4 linked regions of the Bombyx mori genome follow. The protein of the gene in region 1 purifies or fractionates together with the protein of each later gene. This does not show direct contact. Links are inferred from orthologs where the notes say so. Each region holds a gene or a part of one and is shown in the gene's direction. Other genes may lie near its edges.

Region 1 (6,550 bases):
AGCTTTCGTAAGGATACTGTTAGTAATAAATAAAAGTTGGAAATACTTAGCCTTACTTACTTCATGAAGAAATGACAATAACAAAACAAAAGACAGAAATGTAATGGAATTTTGACCATTCAATGGATTTATAGATGTATGCAGTGAGGACAGACCTATGCAGGCTCTGCATGGCCTGCCATGAATTAAGTTTTTTTGCTTAAATCTGTGGGCGTCTATCACCCACCTGATGTTAAGTGGCTACCAGAGCCCTCAGCCATCAATAACGTAAATTTCGCCATCTACATTGAGACATGAGTTCTGAGTATACGTTTTACAGTACAATGGCTGCCTTCGAACCGGAACACATTACTGCTTCACGGCAGAAATAGTCATGGTCGTGGTATCTACTCGCGTGAGCTCACAAGACGACCTAACACCAGTCGAGACAGATGGGTTATTATTCATGATGTTCATTTGTCATTTGATTCTCCACAGATGATGACGGTAACCTCACTGACCTGGGTGCTGTGATGGCGGAGTTCCCCCTCGACCCACAGCTGGCCAAGATGCTGATAGCCAGCTGCAATCACAACTGTTCCAACGAGATCCTCTCCATCACTGCCATGCTGTCAGGTAGGATGTTCCATATCTGTGCTTACAGATAGCGTGGTCATCGTTCTCGTCGAACCCGTCGCTTGCGACGAAGGGCTCGACGAGTAAATTAACCCACAGACACAGCCCACTGAGTTTCTCGCCGGATCTTCTCAGTGGGTCGCGTTTTCAATCCGGTGGTAGATTCTGCGAAGCACGGCTCTTGCTAGGGTTCGTGTTAGCAACGACGTCAGGTTTGAGCCCCGTGAGCTCACCTACTAGTTAAGGTTACACTGAAATAGCCTCTCAAGGGTCTCAGCTTAGGTAGGAAAAAAAACCCAGATAGTATTTGACTTGCTTTAAGTGATTTCTTGTTGGGTATACGATACTGTCTGTTTATTTAAAGAAAAAATCACAAGCCACACTTCACTAGTTTGTTTTAATAGAAATTAATTTTAATAAATTGTCCAACTCCTGAACTGGGGGTAGCCTCAATATCTACAGACTTTTAACTTGGAGAATATACTGGGCAACTAGGTCAAAATGCTGAAACTACAATATATCGAATAAGGATGATGCGATTACAATTGCAAATAAGACAAGCATCATGTAGCTGAATGCACCATAAGCTCATAGAAATAATTTGTTTGATACGATATTGTATAAGTAATGGTTACATGGCTCATCGATGGAGCATGAGACAAAAAATTGTTGAAGAGTGCGGAGTTGAGTGACCCCTCCCAGCACTGACGCTTCCTCACCACATTTGTCATAAAACTAGGGGCCTGTTTCAAACCCAATGAAGGAAGTTTTAACGATGACATTTGTTCTATGCATCAATGGGAGTCACAAGCTATTGTTTTTGTTAAACGAAGAACGCTTATGACGTCACCGTCATGCGAAAGAGACAGCGAGACTACCCGTAGACTGGCTCCACATTAGCAAAGGAAACATCCCCACTGCTCTGTGCTGCTGTTCATACTACCTTCATAGCTTCATATTGTTACGCGCTGGGGTTCAGGATAAATAAAATTCCACCAATGTACACCTAAAAACTGTATTCAACACTTAGAACACTTAAAACACTCAACAAACACTTTAAAACTCGCTTCGAGTAATTCCGATTACTGACTGACTGCGTGCCATCTCTACAACGCTTTTATAGCCGATACCAAATCCCTAGAATTATCGAGAATATTCCACACATCTCTAGTATTGTGTGTACTATCTGACAATAGATGGCGTTGTACTTCTCGAGCGTTCTAGGTGCTACTAGATCCTTCAAATATTCGTTCGACTATTCGGCGATAGATGGCGTTACTCTTACGGGCGTAACAATATTATATTAATAATTTTCAGTGCCGCAGTGCTTCGTGAGACCAAACGAGGCGCGGAAGGCTGCCGACGAGGCTAAAATGCGTTTTGCCCACATCGACGGTGACCATCTTACGCTACTGAACGTATACCACGCCTTCAAACAGAGTGAGTATAGCTTTTTTTGTTGCTTAGATGGGTGGACGAGCTCACAGCCCACCTGGTTTTAAGTGGTTACTGGAGCCCATAGACATTTACAACGTAAATGCGTCACCCACATCGAGATCGGACCTCTTGTGAGTCCGCACGGGTAGGTACCACCACCCTGCCTATTTCCGCGGTGAAGCAGTAATGCGTTTCGGTTTGAAGGGTGGAGCAGCCGTTGTAACTATACTTGAGACCTTAGAACTTATATCTCCAGGTGGGTGGCGCATTTAGGTTGTAGATGTCTATGGGCTCCGGTAACCACATAACACCAGATGGGCTGTGAGCTCGTCCACCCATATTTTTATTTATTTTTTATTCCCCTATATTATCTACAATCAGTATCCTGTACTTTTATTAGATTTATTACTTTTATTAGCGAGCCATCTACTCTAAATTCAAAGATTTATCATTGAACTATATGACATCTTTTCTCTTGAGCTGTTTACCGTAACTTCGTTTCTTCAAGGCGCTACTCCATAATTCGAGTCCATACAGCCAAACTGGCTTAAGGATAACTTTGTAGATTAAAAGTTTGTTGTCAACACTTAGCTTGCTGTTACGTCCGAACAGCCAATGGAGATTTTTGTATCGGATGTTTAGTTCCTGTCTTTTAGTTTGGATGTGGTGTTTCCATGTTAGGCGGAGGTCCAAGTGCATTCCCAGGTATCTTACTTTGTCTTGATGAGGCAATATACCGTTATTGACATGGACAGGTGGACAATCACCTTTTCACAATATGAATGTAACATGGACCAAGTTGTTTGCACTGGCTCTTATTCATCCACCCATATAAGCATTAAAAATAAAATAAAAAAATAACCACTTAGCTACTGGTGGCTTTTCGTTTTTCCAAATAATGCAATTATTTTCTGTATACAAAAATTTATAGAATATTATATTTCATTTTCAGACATGGAGGATCCCCACTGGTGCTATGATAACTTCATTAATTACAGATCGCTAAAGTCGGGCGACAACGTCAGACAGCAACTTAGCAGGATTATGGACAGGTTTGTTTGTGAATAGAGCAAGGGGACTTGATCAGAGTTCAAAATTACATATGATGTGTAGTGGGTAGCCATCATACAACACAAGATAGTCGAAAGACGCCTAAATCTCGCTTACGACATTTTCAAGATAAGCTCGCATATATACAAGTTCCGAACAACAACATTCAGACCGTCGGTCTACCGAGCAATGTTACCCGCTCGGTGAAAGATCTTCCCTTTGTCGTTTAAGCCACTACAGATGTGTCTGAGGAATGTTCTCTGATACCTTAATGATGAAGTCTGATGAATGATGATGAAATTTAAAAGCTCTATAACTTAGTCATTTTTAACAAAATAATGAAACAAAATTTCTATGAAATTGTGATAAAATTCTTCTGATCGAGTAGACAGGTAGAATTTATGTTTGCAAAAACAAACCACGTGAAGCATTTGTCGCTTGCAATTGTTGCAATTCTTATTATATCCTTGTTTTATTTACAGATTTAATTTGAAAAGAACAAGCACAGAATTCACAAGCAAAGATTATTACATCAACATACGGAAGGCACTTGTAAATGGATTTTTCATGCAGGTATTGTCAGTTGAGGCATTTGGTATAAGTAACATACACATAGTGACTTGCAAGCTCACACACCCCACCCTGTGAGATGTGGTGATGGTGGTGATTAGTGGTCGTGGTCATTTACGACCGGACTGTGACATGATAGTATCAAGTTATTATTTTCTACTGAACTGTAGAGTTGACCTCTGAAATTTGAAAATGCACCATGGATTAACAGTGGTTAAAACCATTGTTTGGTACTATGGGTGCTTCAGAAAGAGCTGGTGTAACAGTACAATGGAGAACACTAAAACAATTGCTCTGAGCACTTTCCTGTTGAACCTCATACACATGTGTGTATGAGAATTAGATGATTTCATCTAATTCTCAATACTTGTATATACTAATGATAATAATCTATGTTAGTATTTGCTATCGCCCTATTGCTGATTAGCCACTTGGTGAATAACAAAAAAAAATGTTATTTTTTGAATAGAAAAATATTTACTAACAGTACTTACTTAACACATTTAAAATAATATTTGAATTTTTTTTCTAATCTTCCTTATACACATAACATCATGATGATCGAGATAATTCAGTCATTTGGTTGTGCTTATTAGTTAATGAAGCTGGTTTGTATCAATAGCAGTTGTATGTCGGGTGTTCCAGGTGGCGCACCTCGAGAGGACGGGCAGCTACCTGACGGTGAAGGACAACCAGGTGGTACAGCTGCACCCTTCCACGTGCCTGGACCACAAGCCCGACTGGGTCATATACAACGAGTTCGTGCTCACCACCAAGAACTACATTAGGACTGTCACTGATATCAAGCGTGAGTTGTTACATTATTCAAACTCAATGTTTTTACTACAACTAGTGGTTTCCCAGTAGTAGAGATTCGACTATAACACGGGTCATGGTGTTCAAAAACATGGTAGTGTGTGTAATGTTTTTTTTATTGATTTAATGTATGTATTATTTACGCATAATTTAAAAAAAAATATTAACATTCTGCACTCCTTCTCGGTATTCTCTATAAGTGTGGAAAATTTCATACTGCTTCTGTCTGCGCAATTTTCGTGAAAAGGGATACAAAGTTTTTGCGTCACGTATCAATATATAGATTATGTTAACAGCGGAATGGCTGCTGAAGATCGCTCCCCAGTACTACGAGCTGGGCAACTTCCCGCAGTGCGAGGCGCGGAGACAGCTGGAGCTGCTGCAGGCCAGACTCGACTCCAAGCACTACCAGGAGGGCTTCTAGAATAAAGTACACATCATAGTATCCGTTGAGTGTGTTTTTATTTCGTAACTATAGTAGAATTATTTTGTCGGTGCAGTTTGGGTCATAAAACATAGCCCGGCTAGGGCGGAGAGCGTGTTTCGCGGGCGCAACGCCATTATCGATAAAAACAAATGAGTCATCGAAGGCAGGTACACGGCGGCGGGGTGGTATACGAAGGGTGGTGAGACATGTTACGTTATGAGTCATTTGTTGTACTTACCTGCAAGTTCTCTTCGACATAATGTATAGTAACATTATGTCGAAGAGAGAAATGTGTTTTTATGCATTCACTCTTTGAATTTCTTTAGTGACACAATGGCTACTCCTTTGTTTTGTATCAAAACTGTAGAATTTATTCAAAATAATATTTGCACGTGTTGTTATCAACAATGTATTAAAATTTTTCACTGAAATAAAAATAGATCCCGAAAAGTTACAAAGTGTTAATTTTTGCCGTTCTCGTTAACTGCTGCGGCGATATGTGGTGTGTTTGATTAGTGATTTTTTCTTTAATTTTTATCACTAACCCACAAAATGGCAAAACTAAAAACACTATCGATAACAATAATGCACATCACTATGCCCGTCCGTAAGGCTCGTGAGTGGAAGAGAGAGCGAAACACTCGCTTCACCGCTCCGACTACTTATGACCCAAACTGCACGGACAAAATAATTCTAGTATAGTAGGGAAGCGGGCCGTGACGCGCACGCCATCTATCCTACGTTGACTGTGTAAATACCACACGACCTTCTAACGGAAGTATAGAATAAGAATATAGTACACATGTGCAGTAAAAGCTCTTTATCCGCGGAATATATGTCTCGTAATACGCCGCGATTATCGAATGGTAATGATATTATGATAATGTATATGTATATAGTCATCATACAACACAAGATATTTGACAAAGACCTGATTCTCGCTTACAACATTTTCAAGATAAGCCTGCAATAACAATATCACCAGCTCGGTGGAAGATGTTCCTTTCATCGTTAAACATTCCATAGATATTCGGTTGGATACATACATATTGGATTCCTTTTTATCAATGTGTACGTACCGATGTACCAATTAGATTGGCGAGTAAATAATTAGCCGCGTATATAGGAATTGGGTTGCTTTTGTTTTAATTGGGGAATAGTGAAAAGGTGAATGAAGGAACTGCGAATAAGGGGCTTTTACTGTAATTTAACAACTAAAAAAACACCACAAGAGCAAGCCGACATCAAAATTAAAATATTTTTCATTCAGGAGCTTTTGGAACCCATCGTTAAGGTAAAAGTTAATGACAAAGAGACTACAATTGTAAAAAATAAAGAAACAAAAAACAGTTCAACATTTTATTTACCTACAACTGAACAACTACATGCGATATTACAAAACACACACTTGGAATATGTAATATAATATTATATATTTACAACCAAACACCGACGCTCAGTGATGCTCAGTGACGTTCCTCACCATTAAGGACAAAGTGGAACACAATGTTTTCAACTTTCCAAATTCACAATTACTTCTAAACTAGAATCTATATAAAAAAATATAGTTAAAATATCGCGACCGCACCGGAAAGTCAAAAAAAATCTACATACGTTCGTATTAGTGATCTTTGC
Region 2 (6,550 bases), on another chromosome or scaffold:
GCAGAGACCTGTCGCCATTTCATCCAACCAGCGTTTATTCGATTTGCGACGTCCCGGTCTATGTTGCCGTCGTTCTGGAGTATAGAGCCGAGGTACTTGAAGTCGATTGGCGTGAAGTCTGAAGAACCACCAAAATCACAAAACATGTGCTTGGTTTTTGTTCGACAGATCTTCAAACCCACGTTTTCCAACCTTTCTTTCCATTTTGCCAATCTCCTCTGTATCTCAGGCCCTTCCTCTCCAACGAGAACAATGTCGTCGGCGAACAGCATACACCAAGGCGCCTCTTCCTGTATGTCCGATGTTAGGGCATCCATTATTAGGATGAACAGGTAAGGGCTTAAAGCTGATCCCTGGTGTAAGCCTACCGCCACACTGAACTCGTCGCTATTGCCAGCTGCGGAGCGTACGTACGTACTAGCTCTACCGTACATAGCTCGAACAAGCCGTTGGTATTTCCCTGGCACTCCTTTCACTTTCATGCTCCACCACAAAACCTCACGGGGAACCCTATCATACGCTTTTTCTAAATCAACAAATTGCATTATTATGTAATTACATATCATCATTATCCTGCCCTTCTCCCAGTCACCTGGGGTCGGCGCAACATGTTTTCTCCTTCCATACTCTTCTATCATATACCATTTCTTCGCTCACTCCCCTCCTACCCATATCGTCTTTCACACAATCCATCCATTTCTTCTTAGGTCTACCTCTTCCTCTAAATCCTTCCACATTCATAGTTAACACTCTCTTAACAACCTCATTTTCATTCCGTCTCATCACATGTCCATACCATCCCAAACGTGCACTCCTCAGCTTCTCTGTCACAGGTGCCACTTTCAGACTTCCTCTAACATATTCATTCCGTATTCTATCCATTCTCGTTACTCCACACATCCATCGCAACATTCGCATCTCTGCTGCATGCAATCGCCTTTCATCCGCCACTTTCGTTGTCCAACAAGCTGATCCATACAAGACGGCAGGCCTTATTAAGGTCTTATATATCTTCCCTTTTAGGGGAAGAGGGATGTGCGAGTCACATATGGTGCCCGTGACCTGCCGCCATTTCATCCATCCTGCGTCAATTCTGTGCCTCACAGTACGATCCAGTTCACCGTCGCTTTGGATAACAGACCCTAGGTATCGGAAGTCTTGACATACTGGCAAAGGTGTTCCGTCGAGGGAAATGGGTGTAAAATTGGAGAGACCGCCAAAATCACAGAACAGATGTTCGGTTTTCGATCTGCTGATTTTTAGGCCAACACTCTCCAACTTGCATCGCCATTTCTCCAGTATGTTTTGGACCTCGAGCCCGTTTTCTCCGACGAGTACTATGTCATCGACAAACAGCATACACCAAGGGGGCTCTTCCTGTATCTCCGATGTCAAGGCATCCATCACAAGCAGGAAGAGATAGGGACTTAGTGCAGACCCTTGGTGTAAGCCCACTGCCACATTGAACTCGTCGGAATTCCCCGCGGCGGTTCGTACATACGTCCTGGCTCGACTGTACATGGCACAGATTAACCTCACATACTTACCAGGTATACCTTTCTCATTCAATGCCCACCACAAAACTACTCTAGGTACTCGGTCGTACGCTTTTTCTAGATCAACGAACACCATATGCAGATTCCTGTGCACGTCGCGATGTTTTTCGCACACTTGGCGTAGTGCAAATATGGCGTCCGTTGTCCCGCGACCAGGCATGAACCCGAACTGGTTTTGGGTGATCTCACTTTCATCTCGCAATCGCTTTTCTATCACTTTCTCCCAAACTTTCATACTATGAGACATAAGCTTTATTCCCCGATAGCTGCCACAGTCTTGCACATCCCCTTTATTTTTGTATATGGGCACCAGCGTACTGATGCTCCATTCCGTAGGGATCACTTCTTCTTGCAGCAGCTTATTGAAGAATAAAGTCAGCCACTTATATCCGTCTTCTCCCAGTATCTTCCATACTTCCACTGGTATACCGTCTGGTCCTTCCGATTTTCCGCTTTTCATACTTCTCACTGCTTCTCTAACTTCATACATACTAATCTCATTCACAAATCCGACGTTCTCTGGCTTCCTATTAATCACTCTATTCCAGTCGTTCTCCTCATTCATTAATTTTTCAAAATATATCTTCCAGCGCTCTTTTATTTCGTCATCTCTTTTTTTCGTTTTTTCTCCTTAGGTACTTGTAACTGATTATGCATAATTAATAATTATGCATTATTTCTCTAAGCCAAAAATAAATATTATATATCTAACAGAGCTCATGATCGTAGGAATTAATGTTAGACTTGAGGAAATGTAATTTTTTTCTCTAATGTATAGGAAATCAGAATTGCTTCATGATGAAAGTATTTGCTATGGAATATATTTATTTTTGATGTAAACCTAATTAATACTTGTTGTTTTATAATTGTACACTGTATGTTATAGAATTTGAATTTTTTTTTGCATATACTACATACTATGCTGAAATATATTATAATGGTTATGTTTCTTCAGCATCGGGAGACTATAAATGCTGATCATCGTTTGAAGAATTTACATGATGTATGTATATACAATTAAATTTACAGTTTGTGTAACCACTAGTCTTTTAGCATATATTAATTGTTTCTAGAGATATATTGAAGCCTCTATAAGACTTAAAGAATTGTATGAAGATAAAGATGGATTACGAAAAGAAGAAATATCAGCATTGTCAGGTCCACATGAGTTCCAGGAGTTCTATTCGAGACTTAAGCAAATTAAAGAGTTTCATAGAAAACATCCAAATGAAGTGAGTTACAATAATTATAATAGAAAATACTTGTGATTTAGTGCATCTATTATGTAGATGTAGAAATTTTTACACCTGAAAAGTTATTACTTGTATAAATTTTGCATAATAATTTGATTAATAAACCATTTTTTTATATTTTGATTTAATTCATGTTTATGTGGGATGTGTGGGATACAAGCATCCTGACTCCCTTGCCAGAATGCAGCCAGTTGTTTAATTTTGCTAGCTGTCTCGAGGAGTGACACTTGATTGGGATCCAGAAAATAAATACATGAATGTAAAAGCGATGAGTAAGACAGGTTAAGGATCTATTTAAATTTTATGGGTCAGATTAGCACCCTAACATTTTTCATAAACACCTTCATCAGTACCCAATATATTTAAAATTTATTTCATATGCATGATGTATTCTGTTGTAGATATCTGTACCCATGTCTGTAGAATTTGAAGAGTTGGCAAATCAAAGGGAAAATCCTGCTGAGGATTACACAGGTATTTGTTGGAAATATTAAATATTTTTTGTACATATTGTCATCATTGTTGTTTTCAACAGAAGTTATGTTATTTTATTATTAATTGTATTAGAAAAAAATAATTATAAATTTTCAGTTCCTGTCGAGTTCACTGATGAAGAAGGCTATGGAAAGTATTTGGACCTACATTCGTGTTATGAAAAGTACATTAACTTGAAAGGTATTGAGGCAAGTATTTCATTGTTTTATATAATAAAAGTTATATAAATTATACAGTACAATGTGAATGTTCATATAGTTTATTTGGAACATATTTATATATAGTCATATATAGTCATTTAAAAGCCAGCATGTTGATTGTAGGATTTTAAGACCAAACCAAAAAGACTAGTATTTTTGTTACAGAAAGTAGATTATATTACATACTTGAGCATATTTGATCATCTCTTTGACATACCTCGTGAAAGGAAGAATAGTGAATACAGGAATTACATTCGTGCATTGCTCACTTATATGAAAGATTTTGTGTCCAGAGTTAAACCTCTTTTGGATCAGGCTCAAGAAATGGCTCTAGGGCATCAGGAGTTTTTAAAACAATGGGAGTCTGGTACATTTCCAGGATGGCCTGTAAGTATGAAATTATAAAAATATAATTGTGTACTTCATTTTATGAAAATAATTTTGTTTAGTATTATTATATATTGAATTGAAATTAAATTTTGAAAATAAATTTAGAAAATGATTAGTACTGGTAACATTGACATTTAAATTCTTGTAGAAAGAAACTGGTGGAGCTTTAACAAATGTGGGGGCGCATTTAGATCTGTCGGCTTTTTCATCATGGGAAGAGTTGGCGTCTCTTGGCCTGGACAGATTAAAATCAGCTCTTATGGCTCTCGGCTTAAAATGTGGTGGAACTTTGGAAGAAAGAGCACAGAGGTGAGTATTATATTAGCTTTTTTTTCGTAAGTTTACAACATTGTAACTATACTGAGACCTTAAAACTCATATCTCAAGGTGGGTGGCCGTATTTACGTTATAGATGTCTATGGGCTCCGGTAACTACTTCACAGCAGGTCGGCTTTGAGCTCGTCCTCTTATCAATACTATAAAAAAACATTTAATATTTTTTTTATTCTAGGTTGTTTAGCACTAAAGGTCAAACAGCCCTTGACAAGTCTCTTGTTGCGAAAAAGGGAAATAAGGCAAAGGCTACCACACAACAAAGACAAAAAGACATTGCTGCAATTGAAGCACAGGTTTATAGGTAAGTAGATTATTGTAGAATATATTATTCAATTACCAAACAATAAAGAATCAATATCCAAATCAATATTCAAAATAGTGTTGGTTACTAATTTTATAATTTACTAACTAAAACATCTAAGCAACATGCAAGGAATATAGTTTTTAGACTGCAGAGTGAAAACTGATAGATTTAGAAAGCAACTTCTTTGTGCAAGCGAGGCTGGAGTGGAGCAACGGTAGAGCTAATATAATGAAAAGTTGTACCAGAACAGTACTAGAAGGTTTATCTCTAACTCTAGGCATGTAAATAGGATACTAGGACTAATAGTAGAGTAGGATACAAATGCAATTGATATTGATTTGGTTAGCCATGAGGAAAAGCTTAATGTGTATACAAGACAGGATAATACATTAAGTGTAGGCTTTCTTTGCCCTAAAAAGAAACTAACATAAGAAGGTGTTATTTTGATTGAATTCCATAGGTTCGCGACTATAATAAGTAGTACACGAGCATCAACTATTGAAAATGTAACGCGTCGTGCTGCAAGAGCTGCTGGTGAACGTCGCGACGAAAGCGGTGACGAAAGTGATGCTTCTGCAGCACCAGACCTTGATTCAGATGATGATGAAGTGCCATATAATCCTAAGAATTTGCCACTGGGATGGGATGGAAAGGTGAGTTTTAGATTATTATTTGCTAAAGTTGTGAAAAACAGTTCGAATGTAAACATTACTCATGTATTAGTAAATAACAGGCTGATGGGGCAAGACATCGCGTCTATTCATATCAAATTATGCAACTATGACTGGGGTTGAGGTTCAAATGTTCTGATTTGTTTCATGTTTTATAAATAAATATGCATTGAATACATATGCATGAACTTCTTTGAAACCTCATAATTATTAACTGCATAATTCTGCAACAGAATTAGAAAGTAAATATGCAGGCGAAATTTTATAAATACCTAGTCAGGTCATAAGTATTGTCACACAGTAAAAACTTTTATTTTAGAATGCTGGCCACAAAAAAGTTTATTGAATTCGAATTTCGATTTGTTCATGAAAATAAAAATGTATACTTTTAGAATTTTACTCATTTTTAAATATGGAGTGGACGCTTAAAGAAGACCGTGTTGCAGTTATTGCGTTGCATCGTTGCGGTTACGCGCCAATTCAAATTTTTAACATACTGAAAAATTTGAATATAACCAAAAGATTCGTTTATCGTACCATCAAACGATACAATGAAGACTCTAGTGTAGATGACAGGTCAAGAAGTGGTCGCCCTCGGTCTGTTAGGACTCCAGCAGTGATAAAAGCTGTGAAGGCGCGAATTCAAAGAAATCCCAAACGTAAGTAGAAACTGTTGGCCCTTCAGATGGGGTTAAGCAGAACCACGGTGAAAAGGGTGTTAAATGAAGACTTAGGGCTTCGGGCATTGGGAGGCCATGGCCAGGTTTTGTGACCTGGTAATGGCGTCCCGTGACGCTGAGGAGCGTGAAAGGGAGTGGGATCCCTCTTCAGCACCTCAGCGCAGAAGGCGGGATGGCCGGCGCGGGCGTGAAGCTCCCGCTCAGCCCCCGTAGGGACTATCAGGTGGCGGGTGCGGGGGCGCCCGGTACTCGACTGTCGGTCCGGTGGTGGAGCGGTGCAAGGTGGCTCCTGTGCGCCGCCCACGGTGTATCTCCCGAAATGACGTCCTTCGGGATTTTCCCGGATATGAAATCCCGTCTTATCATCAGGACGGATACCGGCGAAGGCAGACTTTCGGCGCGCACTGCGGTACCGTATGTCTGGTGTAGCCGGTGTGGTGGAGCTCGATGGGGTTTAGTCGGTAGTCGTTCTGCGGGGCAAGTGCTTCGCGCGCCTTTTTCAAGGCGTAGTCTCTTGCGAGAAATTCGGGGAGGTGGAGGACCTTCTCGTCCCCCTCTTCCTCTCAGGAGGCGCCGGAGTCCGACATAACCCGGTTCGTTACCCCCCCGGACCGGGTATCCGTAAATGGATTCCCCAGCGTTAAAAAAAAAAAAAAAAAAGGGCT
Region 3 (5,803 bases), on another chromosome or scaffold:
GGTTACCATTTAATGCCAGTTCATTCACCTATTTAAGGCAATAAGAAATGTACACTGAAATAACTTGATATATTTTATTGAGACACTATTTGGATATTTTGTTTAAAGAAAACAAATAAGTTAATTATTTATATAGATCGTATATATGCAGTAACTATTGGAATTTAGAAATTCAAACTAAGTTTTGAGATTTGTACACATTGTTTATTTTCCAATATTTCATATGAAACACCCCAATAAGTTCCTATGAATTAAATAATATGCATTCTAGGTTTTGATACAACAGCAGCAAGTGAAGATCAATGAGCTTGTCAGCAAGGCACAGATGGAGTCTTTACAGATAATGGCTGATGAGAACAACATCAATCTTAGTGAACTTGACAATATCCTACAGCCAATAATAGACAGTTGCACTAAGGACAGTATTTCTTCAGGTACTTTTTAAATTCAACTGAATAACTTATGACTCAACTGTATACTCTACATTCTTGAATATTGTATGTAATATTTAATCAATCCATATACAATTATATTATTTTCGTTTTTAAATCTTAGCTAATATTTTGCAATTTTTTTTTGTCTATTCAGACTGACCAAACATCATGTTCCCAAACTCAAGAAATACTCGAAATACTGCTAACTGCTACTGTGGGAACAAACAGTTTTATTTTTTGTATTTTTGAATCTGTATTTTATTTTTACATGTAACATTAGGAAAGGGTTGGATACTTCAACATGCTACATCCCATGATGCTGGCAAAGTCATATCTCAACACCTGCTTAGAAAAGTCACTCAAACTGGTGCTGCTTTTACTCAGAAACTACACATCATTTACCTTGTAAATGATGTACTCCATCATTGGTTAGTACCAAAAACAAATTTGATATTTAAAGTGTACATTTAGAATGGTTTGGGTAATTATTGATTGGTTGTGCTTAATAAACGATTATGTTTAAATATTGTAAAGTGTATTTGTCATTATTTGTGGGATATTGAATAGGATATAAAATATATCTAGTAATAATTAAAACAAATACTAAATGATAATGTATTTTTTTTTGTACTATGCTATTAAGCAAAACATAAACATATTTTAATAAAGTATTGTGTCCCTTTTTTATTGTCAATTCGGTGTCTATGATACTATTATTCCTAATTACAGTGCACGCAAAAACGCAGAAGATCTCAAGAAAAATTTGGAAAATGTGGTGGTTCCAATGTTTTGCAATGCCAGTATAGGTAACTTATTTATAATAATGCCCTCGAGATTTAGGTTTGTCTTTATTGTCGAATGCAAATTCTTATCTGCAGCTCAAAGCATCTTTAGAACTCCACCTGTGGTTCTCTCGTCAGTCAGGTAACTTGCTTAGTATCACGCTGACCCATATGACAACTTTTTCATTATTCTGCTGTTTCAGCGGTGACAGAGGAGCAGGAAGCTAAGTTAAACAAGTTACTTCGTCTTTGGGAGTCCAAGTCTAACTATTTCGAGACAGCAGTAATTGAAAAAATGAAGAGTCCCACCAGCTCCTACCAAGATTATCAGAACGCCTTAATCTCACAGCATGCGAATGCTATTTCGCATCTGACACAGCAAACTAAATCTACTTTTGAGAAGTAAATTATGGCAAGAATAAAACAGATTAGTGTTCAATATAACTAAAAAATTAATATATTCTATTTGATTGCAGTTATCAATCACAACACCAAGCTTTTGTTGGTCACACAATGCAACAAATACAACAATTGGAAATGCAAAAACATGCCCTTGAGATGCAAAAAACTCAAGAAAACAATGAAAATGAGCAGCAAAGTAATATGGGAAATTTTCATAATAGTAATTTCAGTGATATAGGATATCCACAGATGGGTGGCTATGATCAAAACTTTAATGCAAACTCAAATAGTCAGCAATATGGTAGTGAAAGTGGGGATAATTACCCAACAAACAACAGTATCAGTGGAAATGAGAATAGTTATGATAGCCAAATATTTGAACAAATAGCAAAGCAAAAGAAAGAAAATATTGAAGATCCTGATTTATCTAATCTACCAAATGTAAACTTCTCCGTACCACCACCAGGCTTCAAGCCTCTTGATAATGCACCACTGCAGGCTTTCCAAAATGGTCTTCCTGACCTTAGCAAACCTCCACCAGGTTTTCCACCATTAATTCCTGAAATTAACAATGAAGATTTGATGCCTTCAGTACCATACTTCGAACTCCCCGCTGGTTTAATGGTTCCACTTATTATGGTAATTATGTTCTTACTTTAAGGATATTTTTTTTCATACTTTCTTTATCATACATGTAAATAATTAATTTGCATGCTAAATTTCATTGTCTTCTAGTTGGAAGATGACAACTATAAACCATTAGACCCGGACAGAATTCGTTTACCACCACCAGCACCTCCAAATGATAGACTTTTAGCAGCCGTTGATGCATTCTTTGCCTCGCCAAATCATGAACGTCCACGAGATAAGTGAGTCTCATTTTCAAATAGCTTTTATTCTATTATATATTCCTTTGAATTCAGAAAATTATATTTCGCATCTAAATATACACTGGATTTAAGGCATAGTATAGTAACTGTCCATCGCAGTAAAGACTGGTGATGATATAGTTACAGTGATTTCACAGAATAATGATGGTTGTTTGCCAGTAATGGCAATAAAAACATGATATAACCTCACTGTTGGTAAATATTGAAGAAGAATATTATGTGTTATATTTAATAAATTTGCAGTGAAGGGTGGGAGAAATTAGGATTATACGAGTATTACAAAGCAAAAAATTCAGCAAGAAAGATGAAAGAAGACGCTATAGCGCAAGGTTATAGACAAAAATCGAAATCACCCAGTCCAATTCCTAAGGATTTACAGAAACAACCTACTCCACCAGGAAGAAGATACAGGTAAAATATATATACTCAAGACACATTAAAGATAGTGTCAATTGAAAGTGTACTAATTTTATATGAAAAATAATTATAACCCCAACTCTTGATCCAATTAATTTTGTGTTGTCTATTTTAGATCACGGAGTAAAACACCCGAACCTAATATACCAATGAAGTCACGATCACGTTCACAGTCACCTAAAAGAAAACACAATATGTGGAAAAGAGAGAGAGAAAGTGCAAGAGAAGGTAATTTTTATTCAAATATTATGAGGTAGTAGAGATTTAGTTGTTCATGACACCCGACGATTCTGGTTATTGAATTAAGTGTAGACAATTTCTAATTTTATCTCGTACATGAATAATCTATACTTCTATACTAATATATAAATCTACAATGGTTTTTACGGATGTTCCGTTATAACTATTGAACCATACATCCAATTGACTTGAAACTTGGTATTCACGTAGAAAATACATGTACTTAATGCATAGACTAATATTTATATGAGTGTTGGACTCCCTACACCAGTTGGGGGGGGGGGGGGGCGTTAATCTTGGTGGGGGTGAGAAATAATAATGTTAATTTTAAAAGCCCAGCGAAGCGGACGGCTACAGCTGGTCTCTTATAATACTATATTAATGTATAGATAATACATGTTTCAAATAATACTACGTTTGCATGCTAGCCTTGGCAAACGTTCACAAAAACACAAGCGTGTGAATAAACGGGGTTGACTTGCCTGAGCTAGTATAGTATAATATAAAGTGAAGTATAATATAAACCTGTGAAAAGTACCCATATATTGTTTTTTTTTTTTTTATGATTGAAAGTTTACTGGTGGCCCGAAGGCCTTTCCAGTTTCACCAGGACAGGTGGGCGAGCAAAGGCTCAGCCAAGAGGGGTGGGATTTGCTAACAACTGCCCGAGCGCCTCCGAAGGAGACCTAACAACTCAAGAGCAATTGTTTCGCGAATGAATCTACTACCGGATCGGAATCGCGACCCGCTGAGAAGATCCGGCGAGAAACTCAGCGGGCTGATGCATGGGTTAGGTTGCACGTCGACCTCTTTGTCGAGTTCGACGAGTACGGTTACCGGGGTCCCTAAGCCTGCCCCTAGTATTAGAGCTGAAGGCATCTAATGCAAAGGTTATTGGATCTGATGGATCCGTAAGGACGTGACCATATATTGTCTATGTGTGTAAAATGTTTCAAAATATATATTAGGCTTAAGTATTTTTTTCACAATGTGGCCCAAAAACTCACTGATGATCTCAAAAATGTCTGGATGTAGGCAGCACAGGAGGTCTTGGCGTTTCTTGAAGAAGCTTATGTTTAGCAGTAAACAAGCTTTTTTCTATTCTATTCTATTCTATCAGTCCAATAAATAATAATAATAATGTGTCCATACAAAAGTTCACTAAGTCTATTTTAACTACTTAATTCGATCGTTTTATATTATGCCAAGTTGAGTTTCTCTATTATTGTTAATTCTCAGGACGAAGACGTACCCGGTCGAGGTCAAGATCAAAATCACGTAGTAATTCCCGCGAACGAGAAAGACACAGAGACTCACCAAGATCGCGCCGTGTGGAACGCTCTAGATCGCCAACACCACCTAGTTTTCTGTGAGAATTTTATCTCTTTAAATTAGGTTTATCTTTCAAATCAGTTGACCTGTGCAATATCAGGTTGATATAATACTGTGTTGGCGACCAATACTGCGCGAATCAAATTTCCTTCGTTTTTAGCACAAATAAAAAGAACTGAATACCTATGAGAATTTTGTCAGATGTTTGTGATTGATTATTCATAAATAGCTAATATAGCGTATCTTATAACTCTCGCTGTGGCAGTGCGCTTCGTAAGAATGACGCGGCTTAATGGTTCACCAATTCCCCGTAGTAGGGCTACTGAACGGCGGAGCACTACACCGGAAAGTGTGCATGTATACAACAAAAGTTTTTAGAGTAATTACTGTCAAATAACAATTATCAATAATTCAAATATATAATTAAGAAAATAGAACAAGTACCTACCATCTTTAAGCATACCTCATATGTATGCCTAAAAAACAAGAATATCACGGGGCTGATGGTAAAGACGCACAGCGCTAACGTCGACGTGCATAGTCGATGCTCGTATACATAGGTCGTTGTGCAGATGCCTTCTATATCTAATGTTTGAAGCGAAGGGATTTAAAAAAGCTTGACTTAATTTGAGTTGCGCGGTATTGTTAGCGAAGCAGACATTGTTGCTAAGCACAAATTTTTATTTAACCTTCATTATTATTTCATTTAAGATATTTAAATTATATTAATTCACGTTATGTTAGAGACAATAAGAATCTTGAATCGAAAAAGTCTTGCTGAGAAAGCCTTCTACATTCTACAATAGTTTATATAGCAGTTGAAGTTGGGATAAAAATTACTTTTTTTATTGCTTAGATGGGTGGAAGAGCTTACTGTCCACCTGATGTTAAGTGGTTACCGGAGCTCATAGACATCTACAACGTAAATGCCGCTACCCACCTTGAGACATGAGTTCTAAGGTTCAGTCACAGTACATTACCCATCTAGAAGACAATTATCAAATAAAATAGCATATATATGTATATTTATTATACGACTATATAATTTGGTCATTATATTGAAAAAATGTCTTTGCATTAATTTGTTTTTTAAATAGTGGTGGAGCATATCCCACGACTTCCGGAGGTATAGATTCTACAAATAAAGGGCATCAAATGCTACAAAAGATGGGTTGGAGTGCAGGGGGCCTTGGTGCTTCAGGCCAGGGTATTGCAGAACCTATCAGTGGCGGTTTCGTAAGAGATAGACAAGACCAATATAAAGGTAATAAATAATAATGCTTGTAATGTTTTGTTAAAATTATTA
Region 4 (6,211 bases), on another chromosome or scaffold:
AATTAGAACATGTATCTGTATATTGTATCCATAATACTGGTCTGCATGTCTCAAGAAATTGCTGCAATAATTTTGTCTTCAAGCATTGTTCTAAGATTTTCAAGGTATCAAGGTTAAAACATTATGGTAAAGAAAAGGACGCAACTCTTGGACTGAGGTCACTTATAAGTGAACCTAGGTGTGAAACAATCTACGTGCGACATACAGTGTGTCCCTTGCCTGCCTGTGTACTAAATGCTGTCCTTATTGTTTTAGTGGCGGAGGCAGGGGGGGTGGTTTTAACAAAGGTAAAGCACCTCGCATTATGCGAGCGATGCTGTTGTCATATTATTAATTTGTATTTATCTAAGGGGCTGCCAAACATGGTATTCTACTGGTTAACTGGCTCTATAATATAAGTAGGTTTTATCTTATTATATGGTTCAATAAAGAAAAGTTGATCAGGTGTGAAAAACGTCAGCTTGGAAATGTGTATTACGAATTACTAAATAGATTGTAAGGTAAATAATATTTTAGGTAAAATGTGCTATATGTGTTTCACAATAATATCAAGAGTTTATTGAGGATTGTGCTTATATAAGGGAACTTACAGTATATGACAACCTCAAATATGAATATGTAGTGACATATGCTAGCAAGTAATAAAATGAATGATAACTACACAAAACATTTATTTTATCTCTAAGGAGACACCACTATTTATTGTAAGAGGCATAATCTTCAACAGAGTTATAATATTGTGACTGATGATAATTAGGTAGTATGGTTACTTGATTAAAGTGTATTTGACCAGTAATAATGCATATTGTTTTGGCAGCCCTAAAGTTATGGTATAAAGTCATGCAAAGGTTTTGTCATCGACAAAGAAAAATAATATTTTTTAATATTTGTCTATGTTAAGAAGGTATTTAGGACACGTAATTCTAGTGTGTCCAAAGGTAATATTACAAGCGCGAATCCAAATATCATCTATTTTAAGAGGTGAATTGTACATTTTAGAATGACAAGCTAAATAACTTATTCAATTAGATAATTTTAGACTTCATTATTTAAAATTAAATAAATTATGTTGTTTATTTATACAGCAACTAGAATTGTTTATTTACAAGCTATTTATTCCCCCATAATTGAATAAAATTTTCCTTCAGGAGGCGGCGGAAGCGGTGGATATGCCGACCGTGGTGGCGGTGGTGGTGGTGGCGGTGATATGGTAACTCAAGAAGATACTGTCTTCGTTCAGGGAATGAATCCATCTACTACTGAAGAGGAGCTGTGCCAACATTTTGGAGCTATTGGTATAATCAAGGTAATTGAATGGTAAAATATAAATTTGGAAAAATGTTTCATTTTCCTTCTTTTTTGGATGTATGTAAACTATGCTAAATCAAGCATAACATAATTTTGCCGCAAAACGCCCCAATATTGAAAAGAGAAATAATATTTAGAATTTCATATGTACTGAGTTTTTTCAATTTTAATGAACTGGTTTTAGCAGCCTGCCATTAGTAGATGATACATTAAATATATGTTATACATAGCACATCTTCCTTATCTCTCTTACCGCTTTCTTTTCCTCCAAACCAAATGTTATGGTTTGTTTAGTAGTAATACAATTAGCCTTGGCTCAATTCCTCAAAATAGGAATTTGGGAGTTATGGAAAAAATATAATTATTCTGCTACTGTGGATGACGTAGAAACGCCGATTTTTTTCCCCTGCCTAATCGTTGGTAACCTAAGCCGCTATTCCAACTTTGCGCGGACCAGTAGATGAGCTCACGGATTGAACCTAAGAAATTTTGCTTAAACCAGCTCTAGCAAAAGCAGTGCTTCGCCGGATCGACATCGCGACCCACCGAGAAGATCATGGTACCAGGACGACCGAGTAAGGACGCGGCTCGGTCGTGTACTTAAACGTTGAATTGGTGGCTGTAACTTAAGAAAAACTGTTTCGATTATCTGAACTATGAAATGATATCTTCGACTATGTATTGACTACACGCAGCTTAAAATTTAGCCTCAGAAACTAATAATTAATTAATATTTGTTCAATTTTCGCTACTCTTAATATCTCTAGGAAACCTAAGAGCGACTTTATAGTTTTAGACCAAAATTAATTAAGTAAAATCAATTTTAATTTTAGACTGATAAAAAAACACAACGGCCGAAAGTATGGATGTACAAAGACAAATCTACTGGCCAACCTAAAGGAGAAGCGACTGTAACTTACGAAGATTCCAATGCAGCTTCTTCTGCAATTCAATGGTTCGACGGCAAAGACTTTAATGGAGCAACTATTAAAGTTTCACTTGCCCAACGACAAAATACTTGGGGAGGTGGCAAAGGAGGCGGTGGTGGCTTCAGAGGAGGACGAGGTGGAGGCGGCGGGGGAGGAGGTCGCGGTGGTGGTGGAGGCAGAGGGGGTGGATCTCAAGGTTCTAACAACCGTGATGGAGACTGGAGATGTCCAAACCCCAATTGTGGAAACACCAACTTTTCTTGGAGGAAGAATTGTAATAGATGTAATGAAGAGAAACCCGGCGGCGGTGGCGGTGGAGGTGCTCCAGGCGGAGGGCGAGGCGGCGGTCCTCCAAGCCGTGGAGGCCGTGGCGGCGGTGGCGGGAGAGGTGGAGGAGGAGGAGGTGGCTGGGGTGGCCGCGGGAGTGATCGAGGAGGTGGTGGACGCGGCGGTAGCAGAGACGGTGATCGTCGCAGTTATGGAAGCAGTGGCGGTGGTGGAGGAAGGGACGGTGACCGCGGTAATGGTGGGGGCGCTATGAGAGGAGACGGCGGGTAAGTTTTACAGTATCATCATCATCTAATTTTTATGCGTTTTCCAATCACCAACCCCTAGTTTTTTATGATTTTTAAATAAAAATATGCTCAAATTAAGGTTTAGGTTTTAAATAGGAAGAAGTTGTTAAGACTATCAGAATAGAAGAGATAAGAATTTATTAAGAAATACCCACCTAAATAGTACATTATGTGCTAAACAAAACTTATTTACTAGACACTACATAAACAGTCTGAAATTTAAATAAAGACATTAATAATTAAAATTTGGCAACTGGACATACTATGTCCACACACTAATTATCAAGCGAGATATATATAGATAGATTGCCTTAGAAACAAAAAAATGTGAATGACATCATAAAATAAACATATACAAATTGATAAATGATTTCAAATATATTGTTTCAGCAGCAGAGACCGACAACGACCTTACTAAATATAATTTTAAGATTTAATCATAATGTTAATACTTCCTTCTGACTGAGATCTAAGTTTGTAAAAACGTTCAATCTAAACTTTCCATCATATTACAGTGTATATAAGATATCTTGAACACTTTAGATGCATTTCAGACATGTATGCTTCTTACTGAATTAGAATTTACTTGAATTAAAAATGTAATCTTTCATTAATAACTAGAAATACTAACAATTGATGCTTTTCACCCATTTTTTAAATTAACTATTGTACAATAGATTTTTTTTTAGTTTTTAGTGTGCTAAATATAAAATCTATATATTTATAGAGATCGAGATTTATTTCTAATGTTGTCAATAACATGTCTCGCTTATCAAAGCAAAGGGAATCAAAGTGATAGCCTCGTTATGATTGGTTAAAATATTGTACAAGTGTGTAGAGAATTAAAATTAAAAAAATTAGAATGGAGATTTCTTAATATTCATTTATTAATAGGTGTAAAAACAAAATTATAAAATTTTTAGGTTTTTTGTTTTTTTTTTTATTAATTGCAGAAACAGTAATTTTATGTGTAAGTGAAATGTACTTTTAGTAGTATTCCTGCTGCAAGTTAAGGTTTTTTCAGTTACATATTATTTTGGTCAGATATCTAGGATTTTTAATAAATAAACTTATTATATATATAGTACATGGACTCATTAACAACCCTGTCTCGGTCTCTATTTTAATAGAATTATAAACGTGTTGTATTTCTAATAACTGAAATGTAAATAGGATTAAGTTATGCATTTTACTACAACCCTTGGTATAGAAAAACCTCTCAATAAAAACATTTTGTAACTATCTCAAGTTTTTTATTAAATGCAGAAAGGCACTTTATGTGAGTATGGAGAATGACAATGAATATAACAAGTGTATTAGGTGTTATAAATAAAATACAATTAAAAGTTAAGAAATTTATTTAAAAAAATATACTTAATATTAAAAATGATGTGTCGCCGTCGTTATTATCATTTTCTAATAGTGCTACCCCTTGGATTAAATTTATGGTAGCACCTGAGCTGGTGGAAGGAGTTGGCTCCTCATCGTTGACATAACGAAGAGTCGCTGTCGTCACTGGCGTAAATAATAAAACGCTCAGTGACTGAATCGACTATATGGTCATTGGTATAATTTGGTCCTGGCATTGCAAACAAATTTAAAAGAATAACACTCGTAACAAAAACTAAATTTAAAACAAATTTTTTTTTATTGCCTAGATGTGTGGACGAGCTCACAGCCCACCTGGTGTTAAGTGGTTACTGGAACCCATAGACATCTACAACGTAAATGCGCCACACACCTTGAGATAGAAGTTCTAAGGTCTCAGTATAGTTACAACGGCTGCCCCATCCTTCAAACCGAAGCGCATTACTGCTTCACGGCAGAAATAGGCGGGGCGGTGGTACCTACCCGTGCGGACTCACAAGAGGTCCTACCACCAGTAATTACGCAAATTATAATTTTGCGGGTTTGATTTTTATTACACGATGTTATTCCTTCACCGTGGAAGTCAATCGTGAACAATTATGAAGTACGTATTTCATTAGAAAAATTGGTACCCGCCTGCGGGATTCGAACACCGTTGCATCGCTACGAATGCACCGGACGTCTTATCCCTTAGGCCACGACGACTTCAACAATTCAAAAATAATAACAACTCGTAACAAAAACTCAATATAAACAAAGGGTTCGTACAATTTAGTAGGCGCATGTGTAATCAGGAGCGAACGGAACATGGACGCGGTGCGGGAGGGGAGGGTCGACTGACTCACCAATCGCGCGCTTGGAACGGTGCTACGTCTTTCCCCGCGTCCCGCTTGACAACCAAAGAGACCTAAAAAACGACTTCTGCGCATCTGACGATTCTTGCCAAGTTACGTGCCGGGTACTATATCTCTTGTAACTTATTATTTCCGATTGCGTTTTGACAACGCCTGCGATGTTGATAATCCAATTTGTCATATTCTGATCACAAAGTTCTGAGATTAAGTGTTCACATGTGGACAAAGCGATGGAGAATTGTTAAATCTAAATCGGAAGGCCTCATCATTAGGTGATAAGAAGACTGCATTGATATTCATAGTTATTTCCTGACATTGGCGAAGTTTATACGAATGAAATATAGGAAGAAAACTTTAATAATACTTTTAATTTAATACTTTTCTTTACATGCCATAATTTATTGATAAGTTTTTAGTCAATTGAAAGATTGAGCAAGAGCGAACCGGTGACAGTGAAAATGCAGACAGTTCGCCGGTCTAGCTGGCTATTTAATGACTTAATGTCTGACTACCCTCGGACAGGGCCTGCGCCCATTGCGTCTCATTTCTGAATCTAAATCCGGGACGACAAAATTTATCGCCGATCGATAGGATATTTTCCCAAGGTGAAGCTAACGCGTTTGAGGTCTAACCGGAGAATGGTGACGGAATCAGTGTCACTAAAAAAACAGCGTTTTTTTCGATTTGTGGAAAGAAATCCCTACGCCGAGACGCGCGCTTGGCTGTGGGACTACCGAAGCCACGCACTAAACGATACCCTTGAACTTTCGCCCGAATGTATAAACCCTGCCCAAGATTACACGGGACAACCGCGATTAATTCTGCAATCAGACACCATGCCATCCTGAGGAGGCCTAATAGACAGTATTCGGCGAAAACGAATTTTGCAGAGTTATATACGGCCGCACTTATCTTTAACCCGTTACGCTCAATGAAGTTGCCAGCAGTTCATCAAAAACAGAGTTCGGGATAGGATGTCCACCTGTGACGCGGGACGGTTGTGAACACCTGAAACCATTGCTTTTACCTAGTGTATTATCAGGGTATCATTTTTTCGTAAGCATGTACCATCTGGTCCTGGAATGAACTAGTCTTCAAGATATTTGCCTAGCGCTATGAAAAATCTCTTCAAACAAGGTTTATAAAAAGCCCTCAATGGAAAACAGCAGTTTGACTG

Evidence for each region. The genes of interacting proteins can lie anywhere in the genome.
Region 2: the proteins of putative pre-mRNA-splicing factor ATP-dependent RNA helicase PRP1 (region 1) and splicing factor 3A subunit 3 fractionate together in Homo sapiens (co-fractionation; 3 studies listed by BioGRID and IntAct, with this or other methods). This does not show direct contact. The link is inferred for Bombyx mori from reciprocal best matches to the Homo sapiens genes DHX15 and SF3A3.
Region 3: the proteins of putative pre-mRNA-splicing factor ATP-dependent RNA helicase PRP1 (region 1) and calcium homeostasis endoplasmic reticulum protein purify together in Homo sapiens (co-immunoprecipitation; 3 studies listed by BioGRID and IntAct, with this or other methods). This does not show direct contact. The link is inferred for Bombyx mori from reciprocal best matches to the Homo sapiens genes DHX15 and CHERP.
Region 4: the proteins of putative pre-mRNA-splicing factor ATP-dependent RNA helicase PRP1 (region 1) and RNA-binding protein cabeza purify together in Homo sapiens (affinity purification with mass spectrometry; 4 studies listed by BioGRID and IntAct, with this or other methods). This does not show direct contact. The link is inferred for Bombyx mori from reciprocal best matches to the Homo sapiens genes DHX15 and FUS.

The regions. Positions count from the first base shown.
Region 1 is NC_085130.1:9,708,221-9,714,770, forward strand, and holds the end of putative pre-mRNA-splicing factor ATP-dependent RNA helicase PRP1, read left to right. Parts: intron 1-477; coding exon 478-615; intron 616-1,932; coding exon 1,933-2,055; intron 2,056-3,004; coding exon 3,005-3,104; intron 3,105-3,584; coding exon 3,585-3,675; intron 3,676-4,317; coding exon 4,318-4,480; intron 4,481-4,784; coding exon 4,785-4,912; 3' UTR 4,913-4,938; downstream 4,939-6,550.
Region 2 is NC_085112.1:8,792,672-8,799,221, reverse strand, and holds part of splicing factor 3A subunit 3, read left to right. Parts: intron 1-2,511; coding exon 2,512-2,559; intron 2,560-2,629; coding exon 2,630-2,788; intron 2,789-3,210; coding exon 3,211-3,283; intron 3,284-3,400; coding exon 3,401-3,492; intron 3,493-3,669; coding exon 3,670-3,891; intron 3,892-4,042; coding exon 4,043-4,203; intron 4,204-4,405; coding exon 4,406-4,531; intron 4,532-4,994; coding exon 4,995-5,187; intron 5,188-6,550. UniProt on the Homo sapiens protein: Component of the 17S U2 SnRNP complex of the spliceosome, a large ribonucleoprotein complex that removes introns from transcribed pre-mRNAs.
Region 3 is NC_085128.1:5,796,483-5,802,285, forward strand, and holds part of calcium homeostasis endoplasmic reticulum protein, read left to right. Parts: intron 1-271; coding exon 272-434; intron 435-714; coding exon 715-862; intron 863-1,163; coding exon 1,164-1,240; intron 1,241-1,419; coding exon 1,420-1,618; intron 1,619-1,692; coding exon 1,693-2,257; intron 2,258-2,353; coding exon 2,354-2,487; intron 2,488-2,751; coding exon 2,752-2,919; intron 2,920-3,040; coding exon 3,041-3,153; intron 3,154-4,404; coding exon 4,405-4,534; intron 4,535-5,594; coding exon 5,595-5,761; intron 5,762-5,803. UniProt on the Homo sapiens protein: Involved in calcium homeostasis, growth and proliferation.
Region 4 is NC_085116.1:7,698,511-7,704,721, forward strand, and holds the end of RNA-binding protein cabeza, read left to right. Parts: intron 1-255; coding exon 256-287; intron 288-1,148; coding exon 1,149-1,306; intron 1,307-2,141; coding exon 2,142-2,791; intron 2,792-3,202; coding exon 3,203-3,230; 3' UTR 3,231-4,054; downstream 4,055-6,211. UniProt on the Homo sapiens protein: DNA/RNA-binding protein that plays a role in various cellular processes such as transcription regulation, RNA splicing, RNA transport, DNA repair and damage response. Binds to ssRNA containing the consensus sequence 5'-AGGUAA-3'.